Cricetulus griseus: one gene and its partners. The protein of the gene in region 3 interacts with the protein of the main gene of each other region in a pairwise test. Links are inferred from orthologs where the notes say so. Each region holds a gene or a part of one and is shown on either strand. Other genes may lie near its edges.

Region 1 (2,548 bases), on a different chromosome or scaffold from region 3:
ACAGCTATCTGTAACTTCAAGATCTGAGACATACATGGTTATTAAGACATACATGCCGGCAAAATACACAGACATACATGCAGGCAAAACACCAATGCACATAAAATAAAAGTAAATACATTATTAAAAAAATAACAAAACAAAACAACTCAGTGGCAGTTCTAGTCAGCTGTAGAGGCCCACGCCTTTAATCCCAGCACTATTTAGAGAAATCAAAATGGTAACAAACACAAAAACAAAAGTCTGGCAGTTCAGATGAACACACCACTGGAAGAAACAGAGAAACAAAGGCACAGGGCAGAGGAAGCATGGAGTGGACTGGCACTGCAAGCCTCCCAGTGTCCTGACACGGTTGGCTAAAGTAGAAAGTAGTTGAAAGGTGGCTTCAGCCAGTATAAAGGCAGCAGTGGAGGACAAGGTAGGGATTCTGAGCCCTACCCCACCAGCAACAGAAGAGCTGACAACTCCTGGTTGAACACAACTAGACCTAGACCTCATGAAGATGACTGTGGTACATAACCACAGACAGCTCAGAGAGAGAATCTGGAGATAGAGGAAAGTCAGGAGGGGATACAGGATTAAGCATCCATGCCAGGGGCTGCCAAGATGGTTCACTGGGTGAAGGTGCTTGCTGCCAAATCCAATGAACTAAATGGGAGCCATATGGTGGAAGGAGAGAACCCATTCTGTTAAGTTATCCTCTGACCTCCTCATGAATGCTAAGCATAAGCCTTGGCCACACTATTCTGCTTAAAATCTTCTGAGAACATTCATCTCAAAAGAACAGCCAAAACCCAGCTGGGCGTTGGTGGCGCAAGCCTTTAATCCCAGCATTTGGGAGGCAGAGGCAGGTGGATCTCTGAGTTCGAGGCCAGCCTGGTCTCCAGAACGAGTGCCAGGATAGGCTCAAAAGCTACACAGAAACCCTGTCTCGAAAAACCAAAACAAACAAAACAAACAAACAAACAAAAAATCCTTCTCAAAAAACCAAGGTCCCATGTCACTATCCTCATGCCCTGCCCTCATTACACAGACCTCATGGCTATGTCCAAAATATACCAGGCATGCTCCCGCACAGGCCTTTTCACTCCATGTACCTTCTGCCTGGACCATTCTTCTCCCAAATATCCACATGGCTCATTCCTTCACTCTTTCAAAACTTTGCTCAAATGTCATACCCATCGCTGCCTCATGGGTGCCTGTTTGACACTATTAAAATCACAACCCCAAGCTGGGTGGTGGTGGTATACACCTTTAACCCTGACACTCTGGAGACAGAGGCCAGGACAGCCAGGACTACACAGAGAAACCCTGTCTCGAGAAAAAAAAACCCACAGCCCACCCTTCCTACCTTGTCTCCCTGCTTTGTTCTTAGCACTCACCACATCTGACAGCACACATTCCCCTTCTCATGCCTGCCTCTCAGCACTCACAGCAGTGCCTAGCAGCTAAACTGTAAGGAGTGACTATTAAAATACACAAACAAATGCAGGAAGAACCCAAGTTTGAGCTCTAAAGAGAACTGCAGCAAACTGTACAGCCTGCTGATCTTGTGAGATGTGAACCAGCAAAGGCTGCTGGAGCAGCTCTGAGCAGTCTGGATGCACTCAAGGATATGAGCTTCGATAATGTCTGTCGATGTCTTGCAGCCACTCCAACATGTCAGCCACAGAGGGGCTCACAACTGAGGGCTGCAGGACAGCATCCATGTCAAGTGCAGCCGAATGCTGCTCGTAGGTCTGAAACACCCGCTCCACATGGCTGCTGATGGTGTCTCGAACCTTGAGGAGGGTGGCTCTGTGGGAAAAGTGGAATTTTGGACAGTATCTCAAAAAAAGGGAGGAGGTAAGGCTCCTTTCACCACTACTGACATTTGGAGGTTTTGTTTCAGAGGGCATTCAAACCCTCAGACACTCCTGGGAAGCGGTCTACCACTGAGCTACACCCCAGTCCCACTTTGCAAATTCTTTTTAATTACATATGGTGGGAAGGGGCACACATGCCACAGCACTTGTGTGTGAAGGTCAGGGGGCTACTTTGTGGTGTCCATTCTGTCCTTCCATCTTTCTGTGGGTTCTGGAGATTGAACCATCTGGGGACTGAGCCATCTTGACTACCCTTTTTTAATCCAGTTCTTGAATGACAGCGTAGATGGGGTGCAGACTGCTGGGGAAAGTGAGTTAATCCTTATATAAAGGCTCCTTTGCTCACTGTGTCTCCCAAGAACAGGAGCACACACACAGCACACACAGTCAGTGTAGCAGTGAATGAGAAAGAGAAATAATGATGATGTGTAGAAAGTGCTTTTGTACCCGTGATGGTGGTGGCGGCGCACGCCTTTAACCCCAGCACTCAGGAGGCAGAAGCAGGTGCATCTCTGTGAGTTTGAGGCCACCCTGGTCTACAGAGCGAATTCCAGGACAGCCACGGATACACAGAGAAACCCTGTCTTGGGGTTAAAAAAAAAAAAGAAGAAGAAGAAGGAAAAGTGATTTTGGTAGTGCCTAGGTATTCTTCTTCTTTTTCTTTCTTTCTTTTTTTTTTTGGA
Region 2 (3,520 bases), on a different chromosome or scaffold from region 3:
CGTCAGGGCTAAATTTAAAAGTAAAGCCACATTAAACTTTGGCAAAGATGTGGAGAAACTGGGAAGTCTCATGTACTGCTGGTAAGAAAATAAAATGGTGCCATTCCTTTGCAAAATAACTGGACAATGATCCAGCCATTCTACTCCTAGGTAGTAAACAGAAAGAAAAAGCAAGTATATACCAGAATGTTTGTAGCAGCTTAATTTAAAATATTAAAAACTGAACCCATTTAATGTCCACCTGTAGGTACATAGATACGAACATTCCTTGGTACACCCACAGCAGAAAACACTGATTACAGTGAGTTTTTGGAATATAAAAATGACATATATTAAACAGCACAGGGCAAATGTATATGACCTGAATGTCAAATACACTTTAAAATAGTTTTATTCTTGTAATTCTTTCTCTTATGTCCTACCTCATCTTTAGAGAATGCTATGATATAGGAAAGCTTTTTGCCCCATCCTATTTCATAAAGGAGAGGTTTGTCACAGACGTCTTCACATGCATCACAGTGCAGCCACCGCTGCTGAGAAGAAGAATAGACTTCTGTCCAAACATGGTCTACTCACATGGGGTAAGAAAAAGAAATGGGAAATAGAAGTTAAGTTTGTAAAACAAGAATAACTTCCAATTAACTATATATAATGTTCTACGAATCACATAATAATCTAATTTATAATGTTTAAATTTTAGTTAGTTAGCAAAAGCATTTTGTGGCACACATAATTGTAGATTATTTGTATTTAAATTTTTTAAAATGTACTCGTGTAAGTCTTAATTAAAAATAATGTGTGTTATAACTCTAAAGCAGGCAAACTCTAAAGCAGGCAAAGTTTTAGCAAAGCATCACAACCACCAGGCTGTGAAGGAATGACTGAATTTTGAAACTACAATCACTCTCTGGACCCACGAGGCCTAACAGGATATCCGGTTGTTTATGGTCTATATTTGGTTTTGAAATGGAGTCTCATCAATAGGTAAATGAATACCTAGGCTGGCTTCAATCCTCCTGCCACAGCCTGTGTTGAATGCTGGGATTACAGGCATATGCCACCATACCCTGCTTGAGGCTCTACATTTGATTTTGACAGAGAGAAGACTATTAGCTGACATTTTCATCTGATTCTAAAATAATAGTGTAAACAAGGAAAACCTTGAAACAGAGACAGCAACCAGACACAACAGTCATTTCTAAATGAAGACCAAGTCAAATACCAAGGCTTTCCTCAGAGTGTTTGTGTAGACTGCAATATAGGCCGTGTCAATTACAGCAATCCCTTTAAAAATGATCTCCACAGCACATTATTACACATATTCCCATCCACCCAGAACAGGGCTACCATTAATGTCATGCTAAAAGATTAGAAGGATACAGTCTAGCTCCCAGGAATAGAGTTAGGTCTGTTTCAAAAATCTTATGGAGCCTTGAGAATGCCTGTGAGGTTGGTACTGCTCTTATTTTACACAGGTATGGTAGTTTGAATAGGAATGGCTCCCATAGACTCATGTGTTTGAATGCTTGGCCCATAGGGAGTAGCACCATTAGGAGGTGTGGCCTTATTGGAGTGGATACAGCCTTGTTGGGGGAAGTGTGTCACTGTGGAGGCAGGCTTTGAGGTCTTATATGCTCAAGCTACACCCAGTATGACTCACAGTCTCCTTTTGCTGCCTATGGATCAAGATGTAGAACTCTCAGTCCCTTCTTCAACACCATGTCTGCCTGCCTGCAAGCCACCATGCTGCTTGCCATGATTATAAAGGACTAAACCTATGAGACTGTAAGCCAGCCCCAATTGGTGTTTTCCTTTATAAAGAGTTGCTGCGGTCATTTCACAGCAATAGAAACCCCAACTAAGACAGGAGGTGAATAAAAAACTTAGGCTGATATAAGAAAGAGAAAATTAGGGGCTTAGGGCACAAATCTGAATTCCAAATCTATAGAGCCCCTTTCCTACCTCACCTCTTCCTCTCTCCTACCACATGCTGTACCTGTGTAATCCCACACATATCGAGCTTCAAACCCTAATGCACGGCAACACAGCGTAAAACAATTGGCCCACTCGCCACAGCGTCCACATCTTGTTTCCAAAAGTTTCTCAGGGTTGTTATATCTGGTTTAAAAAACAACAACAAAGACAACAGCTGTGATTCATGATTAAAATCCAATTGTTAAAGAATTTCTATCACTTGTATGCTAAGTATCAATCATGAGTCTTAGTTTCTTGTTTTAAAATATTGGTTAAAGCACCCAGCCTATGTAAGGCACTGTGCTTGTCTTTGTGAACTATGCTTAAACAGTGGAAGTGTCTTCAGTGAGTATAGTTCTGGGCAAGGATGAACACAATTTCACTATATGCAGTCAATTTTAGTCTTAATTAAAAATGGATACTACCTCTTCAAGGACACCATCATGCTCAGGATCAGTAATACAAGCCATGTAACAACTAAGACACAGGTGAATGGTTGGAGAGGGAAGTTTTCATCTTCATGGTTTTGACAAATAAGATTTAGGTGGGAAAGTTTTCTAAGAAATGTAATTAAGACATTCAACAGTTATCTTGCAAGCAAGTTTTAAAAAACTACTCAAAGGATTTTAGCTTGGGGCAGGGGCAGGGGCAGGGGCAGGGGCAAGGGCAGGGTCAGGGATTTAGCTCAGTTTGTAGGGTACTTGCCTAGCTATAAGCCCCTGGTTTAATCCCCAGCACCAAATAAAGATGGCATGGTGTTGTACAACTGCAATCCCAGCATTTAGGAGGAGGAGGATTAGAAATCCAAAGTCATTCTTGGCTATAGGTGGAGTTCAAGGTCAGCCTGTGCCACTTGATACCTTGTTTCCAAAACCAAAACCAAAACCAAAAGAAGGGCTGGGGGGATTAGGGTTTGGAGGAATGGCTCAGTGGTTAAGAACACTTGCTGCATAAGCATAAGGACCTAAGTTTGGATCAGCACTCATGTAAAAAGCTGGGTGTGACCAAGCATAGTTGTAACCCCAGAGCTGGGGGTGATGGAGACAGGAGGATTTCTGAGGCTTGCTGGACACCAGCCTAGTTCCAGTTTTGGTGAGAGACTCTGTTTTAAGGAAATAAGGCAGATGATTCAATCAGCTTCTGATATTCTCCTGTGGCTTTCACTGTGTACCTGTGAACACACCTGTACATATACACACCAGGACTCCTCACCCACACACAAAGATTTTAATGTAGTATAAATTCCAGTTTTCTTTTTACTAATGATTTTGATTAATTCTTTGGACACATTTAAAGATGCCTGCTAATTTACAAACAAGATGACTGTAGCATTCTTCTGAAAGTTATTCCAATCATAAAATTATCCTAAGAATGGAGGGCACTGAGATTTTCATTCTGCAATGAGAAAGGCTCTGCTGGTGTGTTCAGTGCTCCAGCTGAACAGAAAAGTCAGTCCCAGGCCTGGGAAGAGAAGGAAGTAGTGCCATGAATGAACTGGCTCTGCAATGACAAGTTTGTTGAGCACATGTTTTGCTTAAGTTAAGGT
Region 3 (4,114 bases):
AGTGGTGGTGCCTCTGTCAGTGTCCTGAGACTGCTCTGCAGACTGGTTCACTGGTGTTCCAGACAACTGCAGCATTCGGAATGTTTCCAGCCACATCTGTTCTCACACTTTTCCTTTTTTATATGTGTGTGTGTGTGTGTGTGTGTGTGTGTGTGTGTGTGTGTGTGTGTGTGTCTGCATGTGTGTGTCTGTGTAAATGGGTCTGCACATCTGTCTGTGCATGCCTGTGGAAGCCAGAAGAGGGCGCTGAGTCACTCGGAGTTGTGGTAAAGGGTGGTTGTGAGTGTTGGGGATCTGAACTCCACTCCTCATGAGACTGTCTTAACCATTGAGACATCTCCAGTCCACTACTGTCTCAGATTCTAAGCAAATTTAGCGTCCCTGAAATGGCTTCAGTGGTAGACCAGAATCACACACTCTCATGCCCTGATCATAAGGCAGGCCTGGGCTGGCACAGCAGCCATCTCTTGCCTCTTCAGCTGCTCTCCTAGGATGATATAACTGGCCATCCAAGGGCGATGTAGTTCAGTAAGCACAGTGCTTCTCTAGTACACAAAAGACCCCGAGTTGACGCCCAGAACCTCGTAAACTGGGAATAATGGTGTTCTCCCCTAATCCTAGCACTTTGGATGTAGAGTCAAGAGGATCAGGAGTTCAAGGTCATCCTTGATGACAGTGAATTCAAGGTTAACCTAATCTACTGAGAGCCTGTCTTTAATAAGGGAGAGGGAAGTTTGTGGCTAGATTGCTCAATAGGTAAAGGCATTGGTCACCAATTCTGATGACCTCAGTTTGATTTCTGTAACCCCCACACTGAAGAAAAAGAAGTGACTCCTGTCAGTGACCTGTGACCTCCACATATGCTCCATGTCATACCTACCCCTCCCTAAAGTAAATAAATGTAGTTGTTTTTTTAAGGCTGAACAAGAACAAATATGGACCAGACATATGGGACAAGAAGTTCTCTTTTGTAGGGTCTGGAGTTCCACTTCTGAATCCTGAGTCTCCAGGAGGAGGGTCAGGATCAATGCTCAGTATAAAAGGGAGAGACAGAAGTCTGTAGATCCGTCCAGACCATCCTTCCCACCCTGAGCCATGTGTGCTGTCTCTCCCATGTGCTAGTTTCTGTTAGGAAGAAGGTCTCAAGCCAGAACACGGAGAGCAGAGGTTGCAGGAACCTTCCCAGTGACAAGTGAGCCCCACACTGACCCACCACCCACTGAAAGCAGTGACACCCCTGCTGCTCTTCTTGCTCAAGAAAGCCACCAGCTGAGTGAGTCAGGGTCACTCAGTCCGGGACAGCTGTGGCTCGCCTTACATGAGCTAAATTGGGAACTGGAATGTCACACAAATGCCCCTTGTCTCCCTACCCCCACAGTAATATTAACCTCTCTAGCGAGCAAGGGACAAAGAGTACTGCCTGTAGAGTGAGCACGAGGGTGGTTTGGGGGAGCAAGAGAATTTCTCAGGGGGAGCTAAAGGGACAAGTTTGTGGAGACGGCTCTGAACAGGGAGTGCAGACAGAAGCGTCTGGAAATAGCCAGGGTGAGAGGGGCCGTTAGAGGGAGAGAAACAGGAAACATCACCCTTTCAAGAGGGAGCAAGATCAGGGATCCTAAGAATCCACAGACAGCCTAAAGTTTACAAGAAGTGTGCACAGGCAGCGAGAGAAGGCCAGAAACAGGGCCAAGGCAGGCACTAGAGCGCCAAGGGATGAACTTCACCGTGGGTTTCAAGCCGCTGCTAGGGGATGCACACAACATGGACAACCTGGAGAAGCAGCTCATCTGCCCCATCTGCCTGGAGATGTTCTCCAAGCCCGTGGTGATCCTGCCCTGCCAGCACAACCTGTGCCGCAAGTGTGCCAATGACGTCTTCCAGGTGGGCTTGGGGACAGCTGGGTCAGGTCTAGGAAGGGACTGGGTGGCAGGTCCCACAGGCGGGAGATGGTGACGCTGCCCCAACTCAGTGGCAGGAGAGTTGGAGGCTGTGGGATCCCAGAGGAAGCACGAGTCAGCAGTTGCCCAGAGCCTGGCAAGCACAGCCTGTGTGCACAGCGTCAGAAGGAGGACCCCAGGGAGACTGGCAGAAACTGGCAAGGAGGGTGGTCTTGCCTGGACTTTGTGGGAGCCTTACTAGATTTCATTTACTTTGAGGCTTTGTGGTTTTATTTATTTACTTTCTTTACACACCATAGATGAGATCAATGAAATATGAGGTATTAAAAAAATAATAGAGCCAGCAAGACAGTGAAGACACTTGCTACCAAAGCTGACAACCTGAACTTGATCCCCAAAACATAAAATTAAACCCTAGAATTAAAAATTTGTGACAAACCAGTGAGAAAGCCTATGATGCCAGCCGAGCTGTGTATATTTGAGATAGAGCTCCTCTCTCCATGAGGGAGCTGCTTAGACACAGTGGGCCAGGGAAGCAGAAGTTTTCCCCAGTTTCACACCTGTGAGCCCTCCTGACCTGGTGAAGAGGCCCATGGACCAACTGATACTCAGGTGATTTATGGACAGAGAGAAGGCAGAAGCAGAATTGTACTTCCCAGAAATGCCTGTGTAGCTGTGGTCATGAGGCCGGGCATAGCTAAGTTAAGTCACTGATATCATTCTGTCCACACATTTCAAAAATAAAAACAAAAAAGCTGGGCATGGTGATGCATGGCTGCAATCCCAGCCCTTGGGAGGTGGCAGCCGGAGAATGAGTTTAAGGCCAGCTTGGGCTATGTGAGACCCTGTCTAACCAACTAAATAAATGCATACATCATAATTCTTTATAAATTCATAGGCTTGCTTTCCTACCCTGTATCATTCATAGAGGTTCCAGTAGGCTGTAAACTAGATCAGAGGTCAGGGAGAGCGAAGGGACAGGACTCACGTGTACAGACATGAGACCTTGCAGATGAAGTAAAAACTGCAAGATCCGGGTGGCTTGGTGCAAATCTGTGACAGAAGCATCAGGAATAAGATTCCAGCCAGGAGCCAGGCTGTGTGACACATGCCTGTGGTTGAAACACCTAAGAGGACCACCACAACTAGAGACTAGCCTGTTATACATAACTCCCACAAACTAGAGGCTAGCCTGGTGTATGTAACCACCACAAACTAGAGACTAGTCTGGTCTATGTAACCCCCACAAACTAGTGGCTAGCCTGGTCTACATAACCACCACAAATAGAAGGTAGCTTGGTCTATGTAACCACCACAAACTAGAGGCTAGCCTGGTCTATGGAACAATTATACCAGTATATCCACTGGCTATGTATAGTAAGACCAAGTCTCAAAAATTAAATAAAAAAGTGGTAGGGCTGGAGAGATGGCTCAGTGGTTAAGAACTCTTGTTGCTCTCCCAAACAACTCAGTTTCCGTTCCCAGCATCCACATGATAGCTTACAACTGTCTAACTCCAGTTCCAGGGGACCTGATGCTCCCTTCTGAACCCTCCCCTCATGGGCATTATGCATGCAGGCAAAATACATACACATAAAATAAATCTCAAAAAGATTATTCCTGCTTTTCACAGACTATGAGGGAATGAGTTGAGCAGACATTTTCACACCTTTTTCCCTCCTCTCTTTGGTGCTATGGTTAATCCAGGGCATTGTGTGTGTTAAACATGCATTCTACCATTGCTCTACACCACAAGCCCCAACACAAGCTATTTTTTTAAAGATTTATTATGTATACACACACCAGAAGAGGGAACCAGATTTCATTATAGATGGCTGTGAGCCACCATGTGGTTGCTGGGAATTGAACTCAGGACCTCTGGAAGAGCAGCCAGTACTCCTAACCTCTGAGCCATCTCTCCAGCCCCAGCACAAGCTATTTTTAAAAAAATATTTCTTATTAGTGTGTGTGTGTATGTGTGTGTGTGTGTGCGCACAGAAGCCAGAAAAGGGTGTCAGATCCCCTGGAGCTGGAGCTGCAGTGTTTGTGATGTGGCAGCTGGGAACCAAACTCTGATGCTCTGAAAGAGCAGCATGTGTTCCAAATGGCCAGGCTGTCTCTCCAGTCTTGACACAAGTGGGTCTTAACTTCACTGAGAACATAGCCTTTTAGGTTCCTTGGCATAGCAGGCTTTCTTGGACCACCAGCCTCCAAAT
Region 4 (3,520 bases), on a different chromosome or scaffold from region 3:
AAGGGACTTGCTATGAAAGTCTGAACTGAGTTTGGTTCCCAGAACCCAGTGAAAGTGGAAGGGAGAGTAGACTTCACAAAGTTGATCTCTGACCTCCACACACACCGTGGCACAAGTGTGCACACATATGCACAAACATACGCACAACAAACATAGCAATAAATTGTAAACTAGCAGATAATACCACACTCCGTCAACAGATCCATGGCACTGGTGACCGAGAGCATGGCCCCTGGATTGAACCAGAAACTACCATGTCCATTCAGTCTGTCTGTGCAAGTCACTGTCTGTAGGCCTCAAGAGTCTAATCTAAAAAAACGAGGAAGAAACAGTGGCTACCCTGATAACATTGTGAAAGTCAACTTCTTCTTGCTACCTATTTACATTAAAAATGTAGTTATTTTTTATGCCTATGGGTGTTCTGCCTGCACACACACACACACACACACACCAGAGCATCACGTGAATGCTGTGGCCCTAGAAGTAAGACAAGAGCATCCGATTCTCTGGAACTGGAGTTAAGGACAGTTGTGAGGCACCGTGTGAGCTGCTGGGAATTGAACCCAGAACCTTGCAGAGTGTAGCCAGTTCTCTTAACCACTGAGCCACCTCTCCAGTCCCTATTTATGATTTTAGAAGCAAAGTCTCATGTAGCCCAGGCTGACCTTGACCTTCTGATCTGCTTCCACTTCTTGGTTGCTAGGGTCACAGGTGGCACCAGCCACACCCAGTGTATGTGGTTCTGGGGTCAATACAGGCCTTCATACATGCCAGTGGTCCTGGGGGTCAGTGCAGGCTTCATACATGGCCAGGTGAGCACTCCACTGCCTGCCCTAAAGGATGAGGTCATTGATGAAGCTAGAAATTATATTTTGTATGGGAAAAAGTATCAGTGACAACTACTGTGCCATTTTCCTCAGTAAACAGATGTTTGTTTATTCTTTTTTTTTCCATGTTTGGTTTTTCCAGAAGGGTTTCTCTGTGTAGCTTTGTAGACCAGGGCTGGCCTCGAACCCACAGAGATCCGCCTGCCTCTGCTTCCCAAGTGTTGGGATTAAAGGCGTGTGCCACCAATGTCTGGCTTGTTTCTTCTTATGTGGAGTCTGTCCTTTATCTCTGATGCTAAATTGTGCCTATTACTTTTGTTTGATATTTGAGTTTGAAACTGAGGAAATCAACAGAAGAGGGAACCGTAATTTGATCTGCATTTCGATTTGTCTCTTCTCTTATTTCTCTTCTTTCACAAAAACTCTAGTTCCTCTCAGCCTAAGGAGCCTTCCTTGCATAGCCTCAAATGTATTCTTGGTTCTCTGACCCTCTTAGCTACACAGGAACATTCAGAAATATAAACACTATCTAGAAATAAAAATACTGAAAAATAATTGGTTTCCTAAATATCCAAGATGCTCCATTTCTCATTAAAATAATAAAACATCCCAAGAAGGTAAGAGAGATGCCTACCCCAGTGTGGAACCCTTGGCCCAGGTAATGGAAACACAGCCACTGGTTTCATGGGGTCACAAAACTAACTCATCTTTCTGCCAGCAAGAGTTCATGTATTGATAGTAATACCTACACTTTAAAACCTGAAAAGAAACGGAAAGAAAAATTCCTTTCTGATTCACCCTGAGGTTGACTACTTGGGCCAATAAGGTGGCTCATCAGATAAAGGCTTTTGTCACCAAGACTGGTGATCTAAGTTCAGGCCCTGGAACTCACATGGTAGAAAAAAAGAACAGAAACCCAAAATCCTCTGACCTCCACACTTAGAAACACAGACACACACACACTTTCATACACATACCATACACACACTAACACACACACACAACACACACAATACATACATGACTTACATACTACACACACACATCATACACACCACACACACACACACACACACACACACACACACACACCACACACACACACACACCACACACACACACACACACACCACACAAACATACTCCTCTCTCTGTGTGTGTCTCTCTCAAGTAAAAATGTGATAACTCCTCTTTTTCTCTTTTAGAGAAGTTAACTTTAAAATTTGGTGTCATGACTCTGTTTCCCCCTCAGGTTTACCACATTTCCAGAAACACATGGTTCAAAATGGAGACAAGGATGATCAAGAACGTGTGCGCCCCCGCAGTGGTACTGGGGGAGAGAATTGTCATTGTGGGAGGTGAGTGAACAGAGCGGTCGGGAACAAACTCAGCAGCTCCTGGGGAAACGGCTGCTGAGAGGCCGGGCTTGGGAAATCACATCCATCCGGAGGAAAGTGCGGAAAACCCAAAGAGCCGTTCGCCTGGAAGCTTCTTCCTGTCTCTCTCTATATTCTACAGAGCTGTTGTCCTGATAAAATGTATTATGTGGCTAAAGCCAGCAGGACTGTTGTAGACACAGGAAGAAGAGATGCCAACACTAGCTAGGTGTGGTAGCTCACACCTGTAATTTGAGCACTTGGGAGGCTGAGATGGAAGGATTGCCAGTCTGGGCTACATAGTGAGTTCCAGACCAGACTATACAAAGTATAAGACCCTCTCTCAAAATACTACTACTAATAATAGTAGTGGTGCTGCTGCTGCTGCTGATACTAACAACAACAATGGCTTCTAACACATCACTTCTCTGTAAATGCATACTATTCTGTGGTTAAGAGGGCCAGTAGAGGGGTCAAAGAGACCTGGGTTCAAATCCCAACTCTACCATTAGGTGGTTATATACTTTTTGCAAGTTAGTCATCTTTCTATGTCTTGGTTTGCCTGTCACGAAAATGGGAACCCTCAAAACAACTGCCCAGCAGACAGCCATGCAATCCATTTCTGTGTTCCCAAAGAAGGTCCTCGTCCTTGAATGGCTGTGGCTCTGGGGTCACGCAGAAGAGATAATAATGGCAGCAGGGCTGTAGAAGCTATTGGAAGGCAGAATTTCCCCCTACGCTACGAATGACTTACATGGCTGCCGTAATTTGGGCCAGAGCCAGAGAGATCCAGATGCCAGCCTCAGCTCTGCCACAAGCCAGGCTGCAGCAGGGTACCTGGGCATCCATGCTTTGGTCAGAGTCCCAGCCTGGCGGGTGTCTGGGGGCCAGGGGGGTGGGGAATTGGGGAGCAGAAGCATTCTTCAAGCCCTGATCCACAGCCCCAGGTGAGCCACCCACAGCTGTCCGTGCGTTATTCAATTTTCAGGTTACACAAGGAGGATTCTTGCTTATGACCCTCGGGCCAACAAATTTGTCAAGTGTGCAGACATGAAGGACCGGAGGATGCACCACGGGGCGGCAGTGATGGGAAGCAAGCTGTATGTGACAGGTGGGCGGAGGCTGACCACGGACTGCAACATTGAGGACTCCGCCTCCTTTGACTGCTATGACCCTGAGACGGACACCTGGACATCCCAGGGACAGCTACCGCACACACTCTTTGACCACGCCTGCCTGACTCTCCAGTGCATCCGTCACACGGCCGGCTTCACGTGAAGGCCACAAGAACCTATCTGGGTCAAAATGCTGTGTGAT

Evidence for each region.
Region 1: the proteins of Trim54 (region 3) and CUNH1orf109 interact in binary tests that used the Homo sapiens proteins (3 or more experiments, as listed by UniProt). The two-hybrid records come from large-scale screens. The link is inferred for Cricetulus griseus from reciprocal best matches to the Homo sapiens genes TRIM54 and AIRIM.
Region 2: the proteins of Trim54 (region 3) and Ngly1 interact in binary tests that used the Homo sapiens proteins (3 or more experiments, as listed by UniProt). The two-hybrid records come from large-scale screens. The link is inferred for Cricetulus griseus from reciprocal best matches to the Homo sapiens genes TRIM54 and NGLY1.
Region 4: the proteins of Trim54 (region 3) and kelch-like protein 38 interact in binary tests that used the Homo sapiens proteins (3 or more experiments, as listed by UniProt). The two-hybrid records come from large-scale screens. The link is inferred for Cricetulus griseus from reciprocal best matches to the Homo sapiens genes TRIM54 and KLHL38.

What each region holds. Positions count from the first base shown.
Region 1 is NC_048595.1:28,114,324-28,116,871, forward strand, and holds part of CUNH1orf109 (uncharacterized protein C1orf109 homolog), read right to left. Parts: intron 1,798-2,548; coding exon 1,618-1,797; intron 1-1,617. UniProt on the Homo sapiens protein: Part of the 55LCC heterohexameric ATPase complex which is chromatin-associated and promotes replisome proteostasis to maintain replication fork progression and genome stability.
Region 2 is NW_023276807.1:173,763,750-173,767,269, reverse strand, and holds part of Ngly1 (peptide-N(4)-(N-acetyl-beta-glucosaminyl)asparagine amidase), read right to left. Parts: intron 2,119-3,520; coding exon 1,997-2,118; intron 569-1,996; coding exon 423-568; intron 1-422. UniProt on the Homo sapiens protein: Specifically deglycosylates the denatured form of N-linked glycoproteins in the cytoplasm and assists their proteasome-mediated degradation. Cleaves the beta-aspartyl-glucosamine (GlcNAc) of the glycan and the amide side chain of Asn, converting Asn to Asp.
Region 3 is NC_048600.1:13,268,701-13,272,814, reverse strand, and holds the start of Trim54 (tripartite motif-containing protein 54), read left to right. Parts: upstream 1-1,296; 5' UTR 1,297-1,713; coding exon 1,714-1,881; intron 1,882-4,114. UniProt on the Homo sapiens protein: May bind and stabilize microtubules during myotubes formation.
Region 4 is NC_048603.1:29,304,662-29,308,181, forward strand, and holds part of kelch-like protein 38, read left to right. Parts: intron 1-2,079; coding exon 2,080-2,185; intron 2,186-3,191; coding exon 3,192-3,481; 3' UTR 3,482-3,520.